Linked DNA regions of Drosophila melanogaster. The protein of the gene in region 3 interacts with the protein of the main gene of each other region in a biochemical or structural test. Each region holds a gene or a part of one and is shown on either strand. Other genes may lie near its edges.

Region 1 (7,792 bases), on a different chromosome or scaffold from region 3:
TTTTTGGCTGGGAACACGGCGGTTTTGGGCCGAAAACTCGAGTATTCGATATTGTCGATATTGGGTTCCTTAAAATAAAATATATTATGCCAATGAATAAGAAGACTACACACAGTCATATGAGCGAATTACAAAAAAATATATTGCATTGTTTTTTTTCTTCAAAAACAGATATATTGTAAAGTTTACAATTTTTGTACAGTTAACTAAAAATCAAAGCTTTGTATATAAAATGTACTCTTAAGCGTTTTGTAGGCGTTAGAGATGGCGGATATTGGTAGACATTAAAAAAACCTCAACTACTTCAACTTTAATATAACGTATTTAAATATATTCGTTTTTGTCCATATCGATCGTATCGATGTCAGGGCCTGTAAAATCTAGAAAGTTCAGATAAAAAATTAAAAATTTCAGAGAAGAAGCACTCTCACAAGCTACCACGCTTACACTTTTAAGAAAGCGTTTTTATTTTTAGTCATTATATAATTTGTTTTGCCAATTTCTATCGGTATGCCATACATACCGCCACAAGCCGGTTTCTACTGATTTGCCTAATGTTTTTTGGGCACGATCACTCTTTCTTATTTTTATTACTGTATATTACTATTACTATATATTAATATATATTATAATATAATAATATATAATAGTAACTATAGTATATAGTATAGTATAGTATAGTAAAGTATGTTAAAGGCAGGAAGAATCGTTTCCGACTATATATAGTATATATATTCTTGATCAGGATCAATAGCCGAATCAATCTAGCCATGTCTGTATGGAACGTCTAGATCTCATGAACTATAAAAGCTAGAAGGTTAGAAGCATACTAGCTAGAAGCATACCGATTGTAGACACCTAAACGCATCGCACGTGTGTTGAGCCAACTCCCACAAACCTCCGAAAACTTTTGAAAAAGTTTTGATATTTTCTCATATTTTTAGTCTGTAGTCTTGTACATTTTTTTTTATCGATTTGTCAACAAACTTTTTGCCACGCCCACTCTAACGACCCAAAAAATGCCGCCGACAATTTTTTTTTTTTGACAAATTTGTGGATATTTTTTCATAATTTTATTAGTCTTTTAAAATTTTATGGATTTGCCAAAAAACTGCCACGCCCACACTTTAGAAAATTTTTTTTAGATTTTTCTTTGTTTTATTGTTTGTCTTGCTAATTTCCACCGGTATACCAAAACACTGTGATCACGCACATCCTTTCACCAACAAAACGCCCAAGAGGCTCACTCCCTCACTATTAAAGAATTATACAATTTTTTTCTCATTTTATTTCCCCGTAATATCCAACGATATCCCAGCAAAATTATGAAATTTCGCGTTTGCGTACCCACTAGTTATAACGGGTATAAAATAAAATTTATATTTACTTATTTATAGTAACAGGTATCTGATAGTCGGCGAACTCGACGTCTCTTATTTTTTAATTTGCCCTCGACGATAGCGTTTAATCCTGTGTTGAATAAAAATCTACTCACCCTCTTCAGCAAATGTAATTATTTCCTGCGTATTTCCAAAGAAGTCTTCATGATCAATATTTTCATGATCATCAGCAAAAGATTCGTGATGTCCTTTCTGATTTTCATATTCTATGTTGTGGATCGCTGGCTGATATCCAATGCTAGAGCGACCTTCATGGTACCGGTTTTTATCATGAGTCTGAACACTGTAATCGTTAAAATATTCATAATCATTGTGGCTCATCTCACCATTTTTGCCAGTATGGGTTTTATTATCAATACTATGATTTATATCTATAGGATATGTAGATTTTTTTAAGGCATTCTCATTCATTTGTGTGCCGTTGATGCCATTAACTTTTCTGACCGCTCCGCTTTTAAGCTCCTTAGGACTACTGTTATGGTGGCTCTTTAGTTCTATAGGCATAGATGCAATTTGAGAGTTTATTTTTAATTGACGGTTTTCTGTCCATCCGTTTAAGAATGAGTTTTTTTTATCGATTCGTTCTAAAGAACGATTTCTCAATACTTTCCCATATACATTATTTTTACTTATATTGAAAGTGAAATCGAACGGGGATCGATATTTATGATGACTGGGATCCCGTTCGCTTCTCTGATCGGTCCTTCCACCTCGGCCATTAAACAAATGTGATCCGGGCGAGGCAAACGCCCTCAGCTTGATAGTCTTCTGATCTAAATTCTTACCACTGCTCCCAAATGCATTGTTTGGTATCATTCGTCCACCATCGACTCGATATATTGTTTCCCAAATAAATTGCTTTGGTAAAGGATGAGATACATTAGGCTTGTGGCTAAGACCAAGCTTTGTCAAAATTTGCCGTTTTATTGACTCCAAACGAACTTCATCGCTGGGTGCAATGTTGTTATGGGGTTGATTAGTTTTTTTGTTGAAATTATTGTTGGAATGGTATTTGTTGTAGATGTTGTAGTCTGTGTGTGGATTATCTGTGTGAATGTGATAATTGTAAAGTGTTATGTAAAATTCATTATATAAATTTTTGTTGTTGTATGGAGTGTTTTTATGTTTTTAGTAAAGTTTCATTACCCGATATCACACAAGTTTTATCGTTTTTTAAAAATATTTTTTTGTCTTGCTAGCATTATTATTTTAAGATTTGGATTTATTTTTATGGTTCACAAAAATCTCGAAAAGAAATAAAATCAATAATCAAATCTATTTATAGTTTCTGAAATCCAGCGCCTATGACCTCTACTGTTTTTTTTTGCAATACCGAGTTTGACTAGTATTGTACATATTTACGTCACTGGAGCGACATTTCCTTCGTTTTTACGTTAAGAACAATATATAATTTTTTTATTTTATGACAATAAAATTAGACGAGACAGGAATACCTTTCAAGACTCGTAATGTTTTAATTCAAAAATATGTACGAAATTAATCGTGTAGCAAGCAAATTTTTCCAATCCTTAAGATAAACAAATTGCAATATTAAGATAAAAACTCACCCAGACTATGAAAATTTGTTCTAGATATTTTGTATTTTTTGTTATTTACCCTTTTAAGGGGGTATGAATATCCCAGGCTTACTGCGGGTGGTCCTTGTATTAAATATTATTTACATTACTAGTGGTACAACATTTGTCAATAGATATTTAATTTAATCATTGAAAATGATTTTATTTTACTTAAAAATAGCACAAAAATCTTACAAATTAAATTTATTTTACAAAAAATTCTGCATTGCAATAGTTTTGGTACAGTACGATAACCGCTTATTTCACAACAACTCACATCTGTTTTATCTTAATAACGCCAAACTCAATGTAGTTTTTTTTAGTCTCAATAAGAATATTAAAAGATTACCCTATATTCAGTATGTAAAAAATTTTTTTGAAAACTGACCTTTATCGGTGTATATGTTGGGCTTTCCGCTTTCATGGCACAAGGTGCAGCCCTTGTGACTCTCCAAATTCGAAGCATAATAATTACTACTGCTGATCCCATTGCAATTTATAAGTTTGACTTCAAACCAGACGAGTCCAATTAGAAGCCAAATAAGATTGGCTCTATTGCGTTTAATCTTTGAACAGTTACGCATTGAACCATGAATCGCTGGCCAAGGTGCTTCAATTTCCCTCAAAGGGGACACCAGTAGGCTTCTCTCTGACTGACTAAATAGTTTACCTCCTTGTACTAAGTCATAATTAGTTCCGTAATTTGTCTCCAAAGACTGGCATTTGGCATCGCTAAAATTAAGTCTTTGCTCAAAGCCGCTCATATTATCTTGCATTAGATGATGAAGTCGCTTAGTATATCTGTGCCTGCGTCGTCTGTGATTGCGTCGGCGTCGCCTCCTTCGCTGTCGTTTACGATTGCGACTTTTACAAAGCACTCTACATAAATTGTTGGACTTTACCTGTTGGTCGTTATTTATGTCATACGATGTATACCCATAAAGCAACTTTAGCTTCGTCTCCGAAGTGCTACTGGGAGTTTCATTAGGTGTGGTAGGAACCGAGACGTGCACTGTCCTACTGCTGGCTTGGCTTCTATCTGCAACTCCAGACTGGCCAGGCACGGAAAATATGTCTAGGAGTATGCAGCTTGTCAGGAGTGTCGCTACCGCAGTAACCCACCGAGCCAGCACTAAAATAACCGCCACAAACCTTGATACTCTAAGGACTTCGAGGTCAGCAACTTTTTTACGCATTGCAGCGGGTTGTGGAAATGACTTCCGGGAGCCAAGGCTGTTGCAGCAGTTTAAGTTAAAGCAGCAACAGCACTTTACAACCACAACGCAGCATCCTTGGCGACAGCAGATGCATTGACAATTAAAGAAACACCTGCTGCCTTTGAATGGCGCCCCCGATTGCGAATGATTAGAATCGAAGGCAAATCGCATCTTTGATATATGGCAAGCGTGTAGTACAGGCACTGTCCCTTAGAAACGTGGTACAAGTATTGTCAATTTTATTTTTCTGGTAAATATTTTTTTAATCATTGCAAATCTTTTTCCTTTCCTTTCCTTTCTGTCGTTCATTTCGTCTGCCTGTTCAAAATACAAATTTTCGATTAGATAAGTGGTAAGCTAACTGGAAATTAATATGGACACTAAACAAGAGAGGAGGCTACAAATTGGCAAATAAATTAAAAACACCGGAGAAAGCTATAGTCGACTTCCCCGATGCGAAGTTTCATAATTTTTCAGGGATATTTATAAATATTGTGCAAAAAGATACGAAAAAGTTTTAAATTTGTTTGAAAATGTGGGCGTGACCGTTTCGCTCGTTTTGTGGCCAAAGTGTTTTTTATATACAAAAATTGGTTCCAACAAGGCGGTGCAACAGCACATACTTCAAGAGCATCGATGGCTGTTTTGAGGGAACACTTTCCAGAGCGCCTTATCTCAATTAGAGGCGATTTGGAATGGCCGGCACGATCTGTCCCCTTGTGATTTTTTTCTATTGGGTTTTTTGAAGTCCCGTGTTTATGTGAACCGTCCAAGAGCCCTACAAGATTTGAAAACCAACATCCAAGAAGAAATTGCCATCATAACACCTGCCATGCTAACAAGACTCACGACAAACGCCAGAAATCGGTTTACGCAATGTATGGAGAATGGGGGACGTCACCTATCAGATTTCATCTTCAAAAAATATGACATGTACGTACAATATAAAAAAAAATAAATTTTTTCCGATGCCTACAATAGTTTTCATTGAGTTCTGAAAAAGGAAATTATGCTGCCGCACCCTGTATATACTTTGTATGCTCGGCAATGCTCCCTTCTACATGGTACTTACTTTTTAACGTATATAGTATACCCTTTGATTCTACGAGTAAGGGAATATATATACGGGTATACAAATCTTAAATGATATATTCTCCGAATACTTGTTTACTTGATAATTAACCAGTAATTGAACCAGTTTGCGTTGAAACGGACGGACGGTTACGGCTCTTACTGCTAGCCATACAGATGAACATATATTCTTCGTGTGGTCGTAATTGTCTCCTTTACTGCGTTGCAAGAAACTGACTTAAATCAATATACACTTTGAAAGGGTACAACACATTAAAATTAGTCTAAACCTGACGCCGAGCTTCGGATGGCACAGTTATTATTACGCCAGAAATACTTCATACCATGCACCAACAGAAGCGGACAGACAGACTCATCCGTCCCTTCTGAAGAACTCAAGGCGACACACAGACTGTGTCCAGATGAAAAGACCTACGCCTGAATGGTGGTTACTTAGAAGCCTAGCAGCGGAAAGGGATGAAGAGGAATTAAAAGCATGCGTTCAACAAAAAAATTTGTACATATGTAAGAAGGAAGGTGGTTATGTGTATAGGCTTATGATCAGTGTATGTAACAATATGTATCACCTTTTTCTTTTTAGAAACAATAAATTTTCAACTAAGTAAATATATTTCTTCACGAGAAATATTAGGGACACTATCACATTTTCACGATTTATAAATGTATTATGCTTTTCCTTTTAGCACGGAAACAATATTTTGTATCTCCGTTGGTTGCTAAATGACATTGCATACTTTGTGAAACTAAGATGACACTTTAAGCTTTTCAAAAGCTTTCTTGAAAATAACAATATTTCAGCGTTGCCATATTTGCACCAGAAATATCTGTTGCCATTCAAATTAGAAAGAATATCGATGCTATCGATATATGCTTCCTTTCACGATTAAAAAGTCGGCAGATTCAAATGGATGAATTTCAATAACCTAAATCATTTTTAAATCGTAATCGTAACTAATAAATAAAAATGTTGTTAAGCGTAGATGGAATCGTTTACCCAAAATTCCAAATTAGCAGTCGATCTTGTGTCGATCTATGTGCGCCTAAACATTAACAGATTTATCTGTAAAACTTTACGTCCAATTCAGTTAGATTCAAATCAAGATATAAATATTAATATTATATTCATTTGCTAGTACGAATGCGAACGCAAAATTTCATCATTTTTCTGGGATATCGATATTAGGGGGAAATAAAATGGGAAAAAATTGTTATACCTGTTATTCGTGGTTTGCGGGCTTTATATTGGGCGTTTTTTGGCAAATCGATAGAAATTTACAAGACTAATAAAATTATGAAAAATATCCAATACATTTTCATAAACGTGGGAGTAGCAGTTTTGGTCGATTTTAGCGCTTTGAGTGGTCGTGGCAAAAATGTTTTTTGCAGATCGATAGAAATTTACAAGATTATTAGTCTTGTATGAAAAAGTATGTATGAGAAAATATAAAAACATTTTTCAAAAGTGTGGACGTGGCAGTTTTGTGCAGTTTGTGGGCGTTAGATGAAATTATGAAAAACTATCCACAAATTGTTCAAAAATGTGGGCGTGCCAGTTTTGTGCGCTTTGTGGGCGTTAGAGTGGTCGTGTCAACATCTGTCAACAAACTTGCGCTGCGTCTATGTCGCTTGAATCTGTATGCTGATCTCAAGCTTTTACGTTTACGTACAGTACATGAGATTTCGAGTTCATTCGGAAAGACGGACGGTCGAACAGACGGTCGGACAGACGGTCGGACGGACACACGGATACACGGACATACGGACAAGGCCAGATCGATTCGGCTATTGATCCTGATCACACTTTATATGGTTGGAAACGCTTCCTTCTGGTTGTTACATACTTTCCAAATGTGAAATTCGAGTAAGTATTCTATTATTTTGCTGATTTTAGTTATGCAAATCGATATAAGGAAAAGCCCAGCAGATAATATTTCTTTATCCTTTACTTGTTAACAAAAAAAGGGTAAACCGTACTCTCTGAAGAATATTTAACAGAAAGAACAAAGAGGATGTATACGTAACTTCACCGGAATACCTACAATTATTGGCTACATTTACTTTTTACTTCCTTCGAAACGATTGCATCAAACTAGAAATAGAATACGAATATTTTGTTGTTGGTTGTTTTCATCATATACATACATGTACATAGACATAACAAATAAATAATTTACGTTTTGATACAAGCAAAAGCCTCGTAGGAGTTACTAGAATCTGGACGGATAACTTCAATTTTTTGATATCTATAGTTTTATAGGTTTTGACTTTTATAAAGATGGACCGACGGACAAGGGGACTGACTGGCATGTATCGGTCGTCTACGTTAGTGGCACGGGTTAAAAAACTTTATCCAAGACATTGTTTTAATTGGAAGAGTATATAAACCTTAGTTTGCCGATATCATGTTATTCTGGTTTTATGTGCTATCGACTTGTTAAAGCCCCTTCTGTCTGTATGTATTAACTTTCGGCTCCCGAAAATCTCCGGAAATAACTATATGTATTAT
Region 2 (7,712 bases), on a different chromosome or scaffold from region 3:
ATGGCCGGTAATCCTTGTCCACCGAAATGATCTCCTCCATGTCGCTGACATCGCAGCCACCGCAGGTGATTTGGATGAGGTGGCTCAGCTCGTGGCCACTGATCCAGTGTTTGATGGGCCACTCAATGTCGATCTTCATCCACTCATCTGAAAGTATGCGAAAGGAAAGGCAGAGCGGTTAGTTGGGGGTTCCACAGAGCCATCTTCTCTTCTCCCAGAATCGTAGATCCCATCTTTCTTATCTGGTAACTGACCCCAGGAACTCACAACTGTGCTGGGTTGTGGCCAAAGTTCAGTTTTTGCACCCACGAATAATGCTTTGTCAAGTTATTCACCCACATGAATTTCAGATTCGAGCCGAGCTATCAAGCAGTGCTATCACGAATCTGCGCAATGATCTGTCTAATTGAAAACACAAACAAGCGGTTGTCAACGTTGGCACTTATCGGCGTTCTTTATAATTTTTATAATACCCATCTAGTATAGACATGTCACATATTTTGATTTGTCCCCCGAGGGTATTGAGGGTCAGTTTTGGCCGTTCCGCGGCTGCCGACCAAAGGTCCAAACGTGTGCGATTCTTTTCTGGGCATGATTACGCTCTGGGGGGATGAGTGTTTATGCTATACTAATGTATACTATGTGTACCCACCTTGCACATTCACCGACTGGATGGCTATGGTCTTGGCCGCCGACAAATACTTGGAGTCCTTCTGCTGATCCACCTCCACCTCGGAGACTACGATCGTCTGCTGGGCACTGGTGCTGTTCACCGATGCCGTGTCGGTGCGGTTCTGTTTGTTCTTGAAGAGCCACAGGACGGCGGTGCTCACGTCGAAGCCCTCGGCATCTGCGTCGTCTATCTTGAAGGTGAAGCACATGGACGGATTGGATTTTCCATCTCTCGCTCGGTTGCACTCGACCTCCTCTGTAAAAATAAAGGATAAAGGGTTGTGTTAGCAAAATCAGAATGGTAAAAGGATTCCCTTTGAAGTTAAGCTTCAATCTTTACTTTCTAGTGCTTAAATCTAGATTTGCTTACCTCTATTGAGCAGTATGAACTTCTTGCTAGTGCGAGCGTAGTAATCGTCCAGCTCCTTGTTCTTGGTGCTATCGTCCGGATGGGAGAGTGTCATCCCGTCGAAGATGGGCTTGGGCAGCTCCACGGCCGACACCTTGGGGCTCTCCTTGAGGCGCAGCTTCTCCAGGATCTGCTGCTTAACGAACTCGATGCGTAAGTGGGTCAGCTGCTCCTCGGTGATGTGCTCCACTTGGCGATTGCTCTCGCACTTGGGGCATCCTCCGGCGCTGGACTTCACCGAAATGGTGATGTTCCTCTCACCCAATGGGAGCTCTGGCTCTATGGGCGTTTCCGGCTGCTGATCTAGGTCCAGATCGAGATCGAGATCCTTCTCCTGATTCTGCTGGTCCTCGGCCATCAGTTCGTTGCGCACAAAGTCCAGCGGCGACAGATCATCAAAGTGATCATCGGAGGAGAGGGATGACTCCTCGGGGGCATCTCCGTACATGATAGGCAACTCCACGGGCGGGCTCACATGTCGGTGTGCCTTCTCCTCCTGCTCCATGAGGTGTTGCCACAGGCGGGGCACCTTTAGCTGCTCCGAATGGGAGCCGGGATGGTTGTAGCTGAGCTCCTGCTGCAGGAGGTGCTGCCTCTTGTGGATGACGTGGCGCCTCAGGCGGGCATAGTACTCCCGCTTGGTGATCGGTACATCGTCCTCCTCGCTGGTCGGATCCGGTTCCAGGTGTTTCAGCTGACGGGATCGTTGCTGCCGGATATGGTGTTGCTGCTGCAGCTGTTGCGAGGTGTGCTGCACATGGGGATGCGGCTGGTGCTTAGGATGCGGACGAAGGATGTCGCCACGGGAACTCGGATGGGAGCGGGCGTGCAGGCGATTGTATACGTTCCTGTTCTCCAGGGCCAGACACACCAGCAACACCAGGGCTATAAAGTACTTGGCCATTTCTGAATATGTACTTATGACTTCTCTTTTTTTTTAACTGTGAGATATTTTATATGTATCTTATGATCTTCTGGATCGCCTTTGGTTTCACTCTTGTTTTGTCGGCTGGGGCTGATTGCTATCTGTTTGGCAGCATTAAAACATCAATTTTTCCGGCTTTCAGGTTTACAAAACTCATAGAATTGCAGCTGGTTTCACTTATTGTTGCCGTTTTATAGCCTTGTTTAAGCACTTTTAAAACGTTTATGCGTTTTTTATGATTTTATATAACAACGACTTATACGCTTGAATGATGCATGTTCAATATTTTAAACTTTTCGTTAAGTTTCGTCTGCAAATAAGAAGAAATTTGTAACTTAGTTAATATTGTAAGCACATTCCGATTATTAATCAAATAAATTAAAACAGCTATGCCCTAAATTTTCTCATAAATATTTGCGAACGCGCTGCCCCAATTAAAATGCAATTTAATATGCCAGCGGATCAGGTGCATTTATCACTATCACTCACTAAGCCCGAAGTCTCGCTTAATTTTTGCACCAAATTGCATCATTTATTCCATATCGTTGAGCTCGAATTGGCAGGTGGCAAAGTGCAAATCGTTTTTTTGACATTAATTCCGGGAAGATTTAGTTTAGTTCAGTATTCAATTTCACATTATCACATGGGCTATTTGCCCCAAGTGCGACTCAAATCGAAAGCGTAGTTGCGCAGATCCGCTGATAAGCGGGCTCAATTAGATGGCAATTAGGTGGACGTGGACCCCACACGTACCGTGGTGAGCACACTCCGATTTGCTCCAATGGGATCTGAATCTGCTCAGCCGGATGAATCCGGCGGGGGTTGCGGCATTAACTTTGAACCCGGACACGAAACACGAGTGGCACGGGCCTTTAGCTATAGCTGGGATCGCGCGTCTATATAGTATTCCACTTGTGGTATGGTCTATGATATAGTATGGTGCTTCTTTCTCTTCCGACATGCGGCAGCGCAAACGAGTTGTGAATGAATGAAGCGGTTGGCTGATTAGTAGAACAATTTATGTGACGATCGCCGAGCGTTTGATTGATCGTTCCGCGAGCGCCAGCCGAACCGAACCGAACCGAACCGAAACAATCCGAACCACTCGAATCGCATCGTATCTGACGGATCGTTTCGTATCGGTTGCGGACTCGGATCCAAGCCGAGCGGTTCGGGTCTCGATTTATGACTATAGACCATGGTTATGGCTACATGGCGCTCTCTCTTTAGCCGAAGACAATTGGATATGCAAGTGGGGTGCAGCATTGCATCAGCTTCTTGAAAACGCCAAGCCACCGAATTGCATAAAATTCTTAATTGCAATTTTATTTTTAACCTCCCGCCACCCTGACAATGCCACGCCCCCAGTTGGCGGCGTCACTATCTGTTGGCATTTTTGGCACTCGCTTGGCCACAATGGGGCATTTTGATATCAAGTGAATTTATGATCGCTTCAAACCGAATCGAATCGAATCGAATCGAGTCGAGTGGCCCATTCATGCTAATTACCCCGCAGCGTTATCAAGCTTGACTTTGATGATCCGACTCGATTGTGTGTCAATCAATTAATAGTGAACACGTTGCTGATAAGGGGCGGTTTCCCACTTTTGGTCCACAAATCGGGAGCATGGAATATGTAGTGCGGCATTTAACCAATTAAGTACGCTTAGCATGCGATTCTGGGCAATCCTAATCGGATTCGGTTAATAGATGCGCATTTCAAATACATAGTGTGTCTGTTTTCCAATTTAAATGCGAATGGGAAATTCATGAGTATTTCGGTTGGGAATTTCATCAGCCAGAATTTCTGGTCTCGGCTAAATGTGAAGCAGTCGAGTAAGGTCAAGAAAAGTATTTTGAAGGCCGGCAGATCACGAGTTATATTATACCGCCTATTCGATTTAGCCTTAAATGCTGAACACGTGCCCGATTCGCTTGTCACGAACTGTGATTTTTCTGAACCCAATTAGATCATCGAGACGAATAGAAATGATCTATACTATACGGAGGAGAAGGTCCGTTTAATTGATAGAAATTTTGTAGGCCTCAGCGAATTCTGGCAACATTGTTGGTGCGGCTTAAGCAAAAGCAAATTAATAGGGGTTCTTGTTAGGAAATAATACAATAAACAACTATAAGTATTGCATACTCCCCAATTTCATATTAGATTATGACACCTTTGACTTGCACAATTAAGTTTAGTTTTACGTGTTCCCATAAGTTACATAAGGTATTACACTTTTCCAGTGGCCCTTTTCCAATTTAAATGACGTCCTGGCCTTCAGCATATGTCGCACCACTTATCAACTCATCGCATATTTTTCCACAACCTACGTAGATTGCCACGTTCCAAAATCTGCTCCATTTTGTTTTTTCCAACACAACCAACCTGACGTCGATTAAAGCGACTGGGGGCCACATAATGACGGATCAGATCGGATGGGATGGGATCTGATAGAATGGATGGGGATCGGATCAGGAAGCAGGGCTTGGATTGTAGCACACACGCGACATGTGACACGTTTTGTACGTACTCTTCGTTTTTGACGTAACTCGAGCTGTCCGCACTGCACTGGACTTAATGACTGACTTGACTGACCGACTTATCAAAGGCAGGAATCGAAGCCGAGGCGTGCGACTGCGATGTGATGGGGGCCCGCGGAAAAGGGGTGCCGCTGGGAAGGGGGACAGAAGTTGAAGAAGGTCATTTAACGCCCGGCAGTCATGGCTACGTCATCGAGCACGCCACCAGCGCGTGATCAGAAGCAAAAGCTGTAGTGAAGACTCCGCGGTTGCCATGTCGATGCAAATCGGAGCAAAAAACTGCTGTGCCTGTGAATGGGGAGTTGGGGGTCTGGCGATGCGTCGATTGGAGGTGCAAAGTACAGCCGCTTGATGGAGATGGCTTCTTGACTAAGCGACTCTGCTTGGGGGTTTTCCATGGGCCTGCCCGTATCATTTTCGCATTAATTACGGGGCAGCTGGGACTGGATGTGGGGCTGGGACTCGGACTTGGAGTGGGGCTATCGTAATTGCCGGCAATTATCACTTGCATTTCTTCTTCGCGCGCAGCAGTTGAATGCACTGCGACAAAAACACGGCTGCTTCCATCGGTTTTTGGCAATAAATCACGGCGATCACGCCGTTCTCGCCGATCAGCGGTTGGGAGCATGCCACGATCTGGACTTTGGAACCGCTCACGGAGATTGCCCCGATTGCCAGAAGCCAGAGGCCCGAAGCGTCGCAAATTAATCTGCCATAATACTTTTCTCGCCACACGCTCATCGGCGATGCTACCATAAATCAAGTGCAGGATTAAATAAGATCATCATTGGTAGCAACTAAATTTGGCCAATGACTCTCGACGTGGCCGAAATTCGCCAAGAGCTTTTGGAGGTTATGCGCCTGGGTTATAGGCTCGAAAACTATCAATCAATCAATCGGTGATAGATAGGCCTCTGATCGATAAACCATTCACTGCATGATTAGTTTTTAATTACGGCATGATATTCCAAAAGCGAAACTAGAAACTTCCCTGCGATTTGGTAATAACTGATATTGAGCATTAGACTGCTAAAAAAAATATACAATTTCTAGTATCCCATGTTGAGGCTGATTCCATAATTCACATTTTTGGCACTTTTATTTAAACTTCTTACACAATAAGCCCTTGTGTTATGTAACTCACCCAAATTAATAATCCATTGTCAAAATGCTTGAATAACTTAGCACATTGTTTGCAATCTTCTGCGAAAAGGGATGCTTATCAAATGTCCTTGAGTGATTCTACAATCGATTGTCCGTTTATTTGTTTTCGCAAATCACTTTCGCAAACTCATTATTGTTTTGAATTTCACCACTTGAACTTGATTTCCTCAAAATGACGAGCTGATATTTCGCTGAGCAAAAACAAATGTTTTGAAGAAACATAAAGTATTATTCGTTCACACCAAGTTTCATGTACGATTTGCACGATTTGAATAATTTTCGATCCGATCGTTGGGAACGTCTGCGTGTGAATAATTCGACGATGGGCGGCGCAGCGGCCACAAAAGCCTGGAGCGGTACGACTAACGGTATCTGTGGGGAGCGGTATGGGTGTGAGTATGGGCCTGGGTATGGGTATGGGTATGGGTATGGCCCACTCTTCGGGCGGCAGACAGTTGAGTTTCAGTTTGTTTGATAACAGACACGCCGCCGATCATTGGCGCACTCCGCTGCTCTGCGTTTTAAGCGATGCGCAATTCTACTTTGCTTCCAGCAAGTGCGACAGAGAGAGAGAGAGGGAGAGCAGGGAGAGCCACTGATAATGGGTGGCTTTCCCCCCTGGCCCACACAGCAGCGTTTTAGGTCCGGTTGGCTCCCATCCGATCGCCTCCTGCATCGAACACCCACGCCGCTCGAGGCTGGAGCATCGAACAAGTTCGCTGGCCGGCGCTACATGTTCGATGGCCGTTCGTGAGTTCGAGCTTGTTGGGAATGAGGATCGAGCCCCAGCATTCGTCACCCAAAAACGTGAGCTGACGTCGTGCCGGTGGGGTTTTATCGCTCGATCCAACCGGTCCAAAGTTCAGCGGCAGTCCAGTCCAGCGGATTGCCTTTGACTTTCCCTGATAGCCGACATTGCCTAATGGCGATTGGTTCTCACAGCCAAAGCGATACCATCGCTTTCTTTTGATGGCCCAATGTCTATTAATAAGCGGTACTAGCGAGAGGTATGACTAAAATTGACGTATAACCATGAATGCTAGAAGAAAGTACATATGTATCATCGAAGAATATGCAAACAATGTCGTGTAAAAGACTGAACAATTAGATGTAATATAACGAATGAACTAAGTATACTCAATTTCAGACTCCACCCTACGTATGCCTTCCTGTTTTTGTTTAGCTCTTGGCCAGCTAATCGCTTTCCTCTTGACCAATTTACGATGTGGCTTTTACGACGTTTGGGGTTTCTTGTTTTTAACTTGCTGGCTGCTTCAATTGATTACCATGTGTGATATCATAATTTTGAAGTTTTCACGCCCGTCGAGCATGGGTCTCTTGAGATTACCTCGGAGGACAATAGTATGTAAATGGCTAATATTAATTAAATGCTGGCTCTGATTGCGTATCGCTGTGTTTCACTTTCAAACCTCATGCCAATCGACTGATTAAGTCCGTTCCGAGTTTTGTTTACCTTGAGATTTCACAATAAAGCATTCACCTCAAATATAATGCGATGGAATCGCACAATATACCTTTCGTGATTTGTATACTCAGGATCGAGGCAAAATCTCACTCGAAACGTCTAATTTTTAAATGTGGCGCGCGTGCTGAAAAACACGTCACAATGCACGGCTTATCGTGGCCGGGCCTCTGGAATTTCAGTTTTTAATTAAAACAGTGTTTTGGTGTCATAATTAAGTCAACAATATATGATGCTTATACCCTTGATAGGGGTACTATGACTTTAGTTACACGTTTGAACTGCAAGCTTAAAGTTACCTTAAACATCTAAAGATTCATTCTAATATTTTCTGAACTATTCATCGCTTCATTTGATTATAAATGGCCTTATTCGTCTAGACTTTGGCCTTGCATTTGATCAGGAAAATTCTATGACTGTCTAGTGAGCATTTGATTCAAATTACAGATCAGGAAAGTAAAGTCTAAGAATGTGAACTCAAAAAATAGAGTTATTGAAACGATTTGAATCTATTT
Region 3 (6,301 bases):
ACATGGTGCTCAAGACGGACAAGAACAAGCAAAAGAACGGCTTCACAGCCTCCCACTCCACGGGTATGATGGTGTTGAAATCCTAAGCCATCCGCAATTTCAACATTTCGATAATTTACTTGCAGCCTGTGGGGGCTACTTGCGTGCCACTAGCCAGGTGCAGCAGTTCTATTCGCACGCCCGATTCGGAAACCAGGACTATGACGACGGCATGGACTGCGAGTGGACCATCGCGGCGCCGGACAACAGCTACGTCCAGCTCATATTCCTCACCTTCGACATCGAGAGCAGCGAGAACTGCACCTTTGACTACGTGCAGGTGTTCTCTGACATAGACGATGTGTACGGACAGTATGGACCCATGTACGGACAGTACTGTGGCAATGTGGTGGGTACACCTATTTCGTTTATCCGGAGAACATTTAAGCTAAGCATTATTTACTGCAGCTGCCGCAGGACATCAACTCTATGACACATTCTCTGCTGGTTCGCTTTAAGACCGACGGTTCGGTGCCGATGAAGGGCTTCTCTGCCTCATATGTGGCCGTGCCCAATTCCGGGGAGTATGACCACTCCGACGAGGATGTGGAGAACTCGTACAGCTCCGAGATGGTTACCCCGTTTCCGGGCTCACTGAAGAGCATCTACATCGAGGACACGCAGGAGGAGACCGACGAGTACAGCGACTTCAGCGGCAATCAACTGGTCTTCAATGGGCAGTATCGTGGCCGATATAGTCTGCCCAAACGGTACTACTCCGGAAAGGCATAGGGCTATGGTGGAACCACTGACCGTGCGCCAAAATACATGACAATATATTAAAACGGAATTTATTTAACAGATTTAGGCATATCGTCGCGTACATAAAACAGACTTTCCCGATCTTCCACGCGCACTCTTCTGGCCAAATCCAGGATATAATCAAAGATCCAATACTAGTTTTAGGCACTCGAAACACACATTGTTAGGTTCCAGTCGGCTAAGATCTGCGGTGGCAATTACTTAGACCCCTATGTCATACATGTAATGTACTTTGACTAGACTTCTCTAGACTCTGTAGCTAAATGTGCAATTCCTCTTCCCCCCTTGCATTTGACTGCTTTTTTCTCTGACGCATTTTCATTTTTTTCGGATATCTATATTCTATATTGTGCCATATTTAATGGTAATGATGGAGTGCATTTCCTTAGGCATCTTAGCATAAGTCAATGGGTGGCCCATATCAAAATCAGAACGGAAGTTAGGATAGAAAAGAGATACACACATATCTTCGGAAGCACCGAAAGTGGAGGATCCTTACAGATGGATTGAATTTTTCACACAGGCATATGTACAACTCTCGGATATTTGACTCAACTTAATACGTAATTATATCTATACATATTAAAACTTGCATAGTAACTATGTTTTAAAACCAAAACAAAACGAGTTTGAAGAATGTTATTTACGGACTTTCGGGTTTATGGGCTCATGGATTTATGGCCCTAGGTTCCACCTTGCCACGCCAGGCAGAAGCGCCATGGCTCTTGAATAGCATTTGAAGGTGGAATTACCGCGAAACGATTCGTTCATGCGGCGGATTTACGATCATTAATGACCTGCCCTAAAAGGCACGAACCCGCTTAAGCAACACCTGATCCTGGGCAAATGCCCCTGAGCCCGGCCAGCGACCCAGGTAGATGGCCACATACGCGTACACGTATAGATGGACAATGTCAAGGTGTGAGCAGGAATACCCAAATCAAAATCCATTGAATGCAAACAACAGGCGGCAGACAATGGTCATCCCGAATCGCCAATGAGGAGGGGTAGCACTCAGGTCTGGTTATGGCTCTCGTCTCTCCTTCTATTGAGCCGTCCCTTCGAGCGGTCAGTCGAGATTCTGCAACGGCCTGCCCTGCCACGCCCCTCGTCCACCGATTCCCCTACGAGTTGGGATCTGTTACCTGCTGCTCACTCACTCGATCCGTGGAACCCTTGTCGGCGCACCAGTATAATTCGGCAATCGCAGTCCACGAGCACTCAGTTAGAACTTTGAACTGGTTGAAGCAACTTCAGGGAACGAGCCCCCAGAAATACCCACGCAATGAAAGGAATGCGCCTTATGCCCATGAAAATGAAAGCGAAATTAGTTGTTCTCTCTGTGGGAGCTCTCTGGATGATGATGTTTTTTCTGGTGGATTACGCCGAGGGCAGGCGACTGAGTCAGCTGCCCGAGAGTGAGTGCGATTTTGATTTCAAGGAGCAGCCAGAGGACTTCTTTGGCATTCTGGATTCTTCACTGGTGAGTGGTGGAGTCACGTGGCCCGACCTAAAATTACAATCTTCAGCATTACCCAACAACAGGTGCCGCCGAAGGAGCCAAAGGATGATATCTATCAACTCAAGACAACCAGACAACATTCGGGGTAAGTTCCACTGGGATTTATACCGCACACAATGGTGCGCAATTAGCCCACACACTTGCCTTGGCCACTGGAGTGCTTGCCTTTGGGCACGTAAGTAATACCTGAGCTCATAAGCCCTCCCTGCCCATCTCAACCACCCACACAGGAGACGCCGGAAGCAGTCGCATAAATCGCAGAACAAAGCCGCTCTGAGATTACCCCCACCATTTCTGTGGACCGATGACGCTGTTGATGTCCTGCAGCATAGTCACTCACCCACTTTAAATGGGCAACCAATCCAGAGAAGGCGAAGAGCTGTGACCGTGAGGAAGGAGCGAACTTGGGACTATGGGGTCATACCCTACGAGATCGATACCATCTTCAGTGGAGCCCACAAGGCGCTCTTCAAGCAGGCCATGCGCCACTGGGAGAACTTCACCTGCATCAAGTTTGTGGAGCGGGATCCCAATTTGCATGCAAACTATATATACTTTACAGTCAAGAATTGCGGGTAAGTCTAATATTCGTTCTATGGAGAATTTATAATTTATATCCCATCGAATAGTTGCTGTTCGTTTCTGGGTAAGAATGGGAATGGACGCCAGCCCATCTCCATTGGACGTAATTGCGAAAAGTTTGGCATTATTATCCATGAACTGGGTCACACAATCGGGTTTCACCATGAACACGCCCGTGGTGACAGAGATAAACACATCGTGATTAACAAGGGGAACATCATGAGGGGTCAGGAGTACAACTTTGATGTACTCTCGCCGGAGGAGGTGGACTTGCCTCTACTGCCCTACGATCTTAACTCCATTATGCACTATGCGAAGAACTCGTTCTCGAAGAGTCCCTACCTGGATACCATCACACCGATAGGGATTCCACCCGGAACCCATTTGGAGTTGGGTCAGCGGAAGCGTCTTAGTCGCGGCGACATTGTTCAAGCCAATTTGCTTTATAAGTGCGCCTCCTGTGGACGAACATATCAGCAGAATTCTGGACATATAGTGAGTCCACACTTTATATACTCCGGCAATGGAGTACTCAGCGAATTCGAGGGCAGTGGTGATGCTGGGGAAGATCCGTCCGCGGAATCTGAGTTCGATGCCTCGCTGACCAACTGCGAGTGGCGGATCACGGCCACCAATGGGGAAAAGGTCATCCTGCATCTGCAGCAGCTGCATCTGATGAGCTCCGACGATTGTACTCAGGATTACCTGGAGATTAGGGATGGTTACTGGCACAAATCGCCACTGGTGAGACGAATCTGCGGAAATGTCAGCGGAGAGGTCATCACCACCCAGACAAGTCGCATGCTTCTCAACTATGTCAACAGGAATGCAGCCAAAGGTTACCGTGGATTCAAGGCGAGATTCGAGGGTAAGTTTTAAACTTTTCAAAGAAAAACACAAACTAATTTTTCCATTCCAGTGGTATGTGGTGGGGACTTAAAGCTGACCAAAGATCAGTCCATAGACTCTCCCAACTATCCTATGGACTACATGCCGGACAAAGAGTGCGTGTGGCGGATCACGGCTCCGGATAACCACCAGGTGGCCCTGAAGTTCCAGAGCTTTGAGCTGGAGAAGCACGACGGGTGTGCCTACGACTTTGTGGAGATACGGGATGGCAATCACAGTGATTCGCGGCTCATAGGACGCTTCTGCGGAGATAAACTGCCGCCCAACATAAAGTAAGTTACTTTCAAAGGAAAAATGATCACTAACCAAGTGAATATCCACTTAGAACCCGCAGTAACCAGATGTACATCCGTTTCGTATCCGACTCATCGGTGCAAAAGCTGGGATTCTCAGCCGCCTTGATGCTGGACGTGGATGAGTGCAAGTTCACGGATCATGGATGCCAGCACCTGTGCATCAACACCTTGGGTAGCTACCAATGTGGCTGTCGAGCGGGATACGAGTTGCAGGCAAATGGAAAGACCTGCGAGGACGCGTGTGGAGGAGTCGTGGACGCCACCAAATCCAATGGCTCGCTCTACTCACCATCGTATCCGGATGTGTATCCCAACTCCAAGCAGTGCGTTTGGGAAGTGGTTGCGCCACCGAATCACGCGGTGTTCCTAAACTTTTCCCACTTTGATTTGGAGGGCACACGGTTTCACTACACCAAGTGCAACTATGATTACCTGATTATATACTCCAAAATGAGGGATAATCGCCTGAAGAAGATTGGCATTTATTGTGGTCATGAACTACCTCCAGTGGTGAATTCCGAGCAGAGTATCCTCAGGCTGGAGTTCTACTCGGATCGCACTGTCCAGAGAAGTGGATTTGTGGCCAAGTTTGTAATAGGTAACTTACAGAAAAAAATTAATTTACGTACGATCTATAATATCATTATTCCACAGATGTGGATGAGTGTTCAATGAACAATGGTGGCTGTCAGCACCGATGCCGAAACACCTTTGGATCCTATCAGTGCAGCTGCCGCAATGGATACACATTGGCTGAAAATGGACACAACTGCACGGAGACGCGTTGCAAGTTCGAGATCACCACGTCGTATGGAGTGTTGCAGAGTCCCAACTATCCGGAGGATTATCCAAGAAACATTTACTGCTACTGGCATTTTCAGACCGTACTGGGCCACCGGATACAGTTGACATTCCACGACTTTGAGGTGGAGAGCCACCAGGAGTGCATCTACGACTATGTGGCTATCTATGATGGTCGCTCCGAAAATAGCTCAACATTGGGCATCTATTGCGGTGGACGTGAACCGTATGCCGTTATTGCCTCCACCAATGAGATGTTTATGGTACTGGCCACGGATGCGGGTCTTCAGAGAAAGGGTTTCAAGGCCACCTTTGTCTCCGAATGTGGTGGCTACTTGAGGGCCACAAATCATTCACAGACCTTCTACTCGCATCCACGATACGGCAGTAGGCCGTACAAGCGGAACATGTACTGCGATTGGCGCATTCAGGCAGACCCGGAAAGCAGTGTCAAGATCCGTTTCCTACACTTCGAGATCGAGTACTCGGAGCGATGCGACTACGATTATCTGGAGATCACCGAGGAGGGCTACTCAATGAACACTATCCACGGCAGATTTTGCGGAAAGCACAAGCCGCCAATCATAATCTCCAACTCGGACACCCTTCTGTTGCGATTCCAAACGGACGAGAGTAACTCATTGAGAGGCTTCGCCATCTCCTTCATGGCCGTGGATCCACCGGAAGATTCTGTTGGCGAGGATTTCGACGCGGTTACACCCTTTCCGGGCTATCTCAAGAGCATGTATTCCTCAGAAACGGGCAGCGACCACCTCCTGCCACCCAGCAGACTCATTTAGATAAAATGAGAGGTCCAGCGAAGGGATTTAGAGTTTAATGTTTGTTGTTGAAATTTGTAAATAGATTGTGAATAAAAGATATTTCGAGTCATTTTGTTTACCCTATATTTTATTTTTAAAGGCACATAATATTTATATCTGTGATAATACACATTTGAATTTGGCGCTATAAAACTGTGCAACGTTCACACTGAGGATATCGATTGGTGGTGTTAACACATCTGGGTTACTCACAATTTATGTAAAATTACACAAAATAATATTCCTTAGAATGATCTTATCATATTAAATAATTTATGTTTAAAAATTGCGGACAAATGTAATCCTTATATTTTTAAGTCTATCGAAAACCATTCTGAAGACCCCTAACATTTCACAATCGATAGGTCGAATTGTTCGATAGCCCTTTGCTCCAGCAATCAAGCAATCGAGTATCGGCGTCGCTTCGTTTCGAATTTCAGTTCGAATTTGGATTTGTGCGGCGACGCTCTAATTTGTTTAATTTTTGTTCGTTAATTGTGTTAATTGATTAGTTAGTCGCTGTGTTAATGGACCACTAAGTTAGCTGCGAGCCCGTTTCTGTTTAGTTC

What was found. The genes of interacting proteins can lie anywhere in the genome.
Region 1: of the proteins of tld (region 3) and Actbeta, one has a biochemical effect on the other in vitro, tested with the Drosophila melanogaster proteins (one study listed by BioGRID).
Region 2: of the proteins of tld (region 3) and daw, one has a biochemical effect on the other in vitro, tested with the Drosophila melanogaster proteins (one study listed by BioGRID).

What each region holds. Positions count from the first base shown.
Region 1 is NC_004353.4:1,078,762-1,086,553, forward strand, and holds the start of Actbeta (Activin-beta), read right to left. Parts: upstream 6,036-7,792; 5' UTR 5,853-6,035; intron 4,513-5,852; 5' UTR 4,366-4,512; coding exon 3,366-4,365; intron 2,447-3,365; coding exon 1,496-2,446; intron 69-1,495; coding exon 1-68. UniProt on the Drosophila melanogaster protein: Controls several aspects of neuronal morphogenesis; essential for optic lobe development, EcR-B1 expression in larval brains, mushroom body remodeling, dorsal neuron morphogenesis and motoneuron axon guidance.
Region 2 is NT_033779.5:2,803,584-2,811,295, reverse strand, and holds the start of daw (dawdle), read right to left. Parts: upstream 6,036-7,712; 5' UTR 5,695-6,035; intron 2,975-5,694; exon of another isoform or gene 2,760-2,974; intron 2,317-2,759; 5' UTR 1,986-2,316; coding exon 1,043-1,985; intron 929-1,042; coding exon 653-928; intron 148-652; coding exon 1-147.
Region 3 is NT_033777.3:24,747,710-24,754,010, forward strand, and holds tld (tolloid), read left to right. Parts: upstream 1-2,021; 5' UTR 2,022-2,086; coding exon 2,087-2,284; intron 2,285-2,346; coding exon 2,347-2,408; intron 2,409-2,553; coding exon 2,554-2,898; intron 2,899-2,952; coding exon 2,953-3,773; intron 3,774-3,824; coding exon 3,825-4,086; intron 4,087-4,139; coding exon 4,140-4,708; intron 4,709-4,764; coding exon 4,765-5,711; 3' UTR 5,712-5,801; downstream 5,802-6,301. Other genes in the region: tok (tolkin), read left to right, coding at 1-63, 126-388, 448-771. UniProt on the Drosophila melanogaster protein: Metalloprotease which cleaves TGF-beta family ligands daw, Actbeta and myo in vitro. Cleavage of daw enhances its signaling activity. Cleaves dorsal-ventral patterning protein sog. Processes sog more efficiently than metalloprotease tld which also cleaves sog.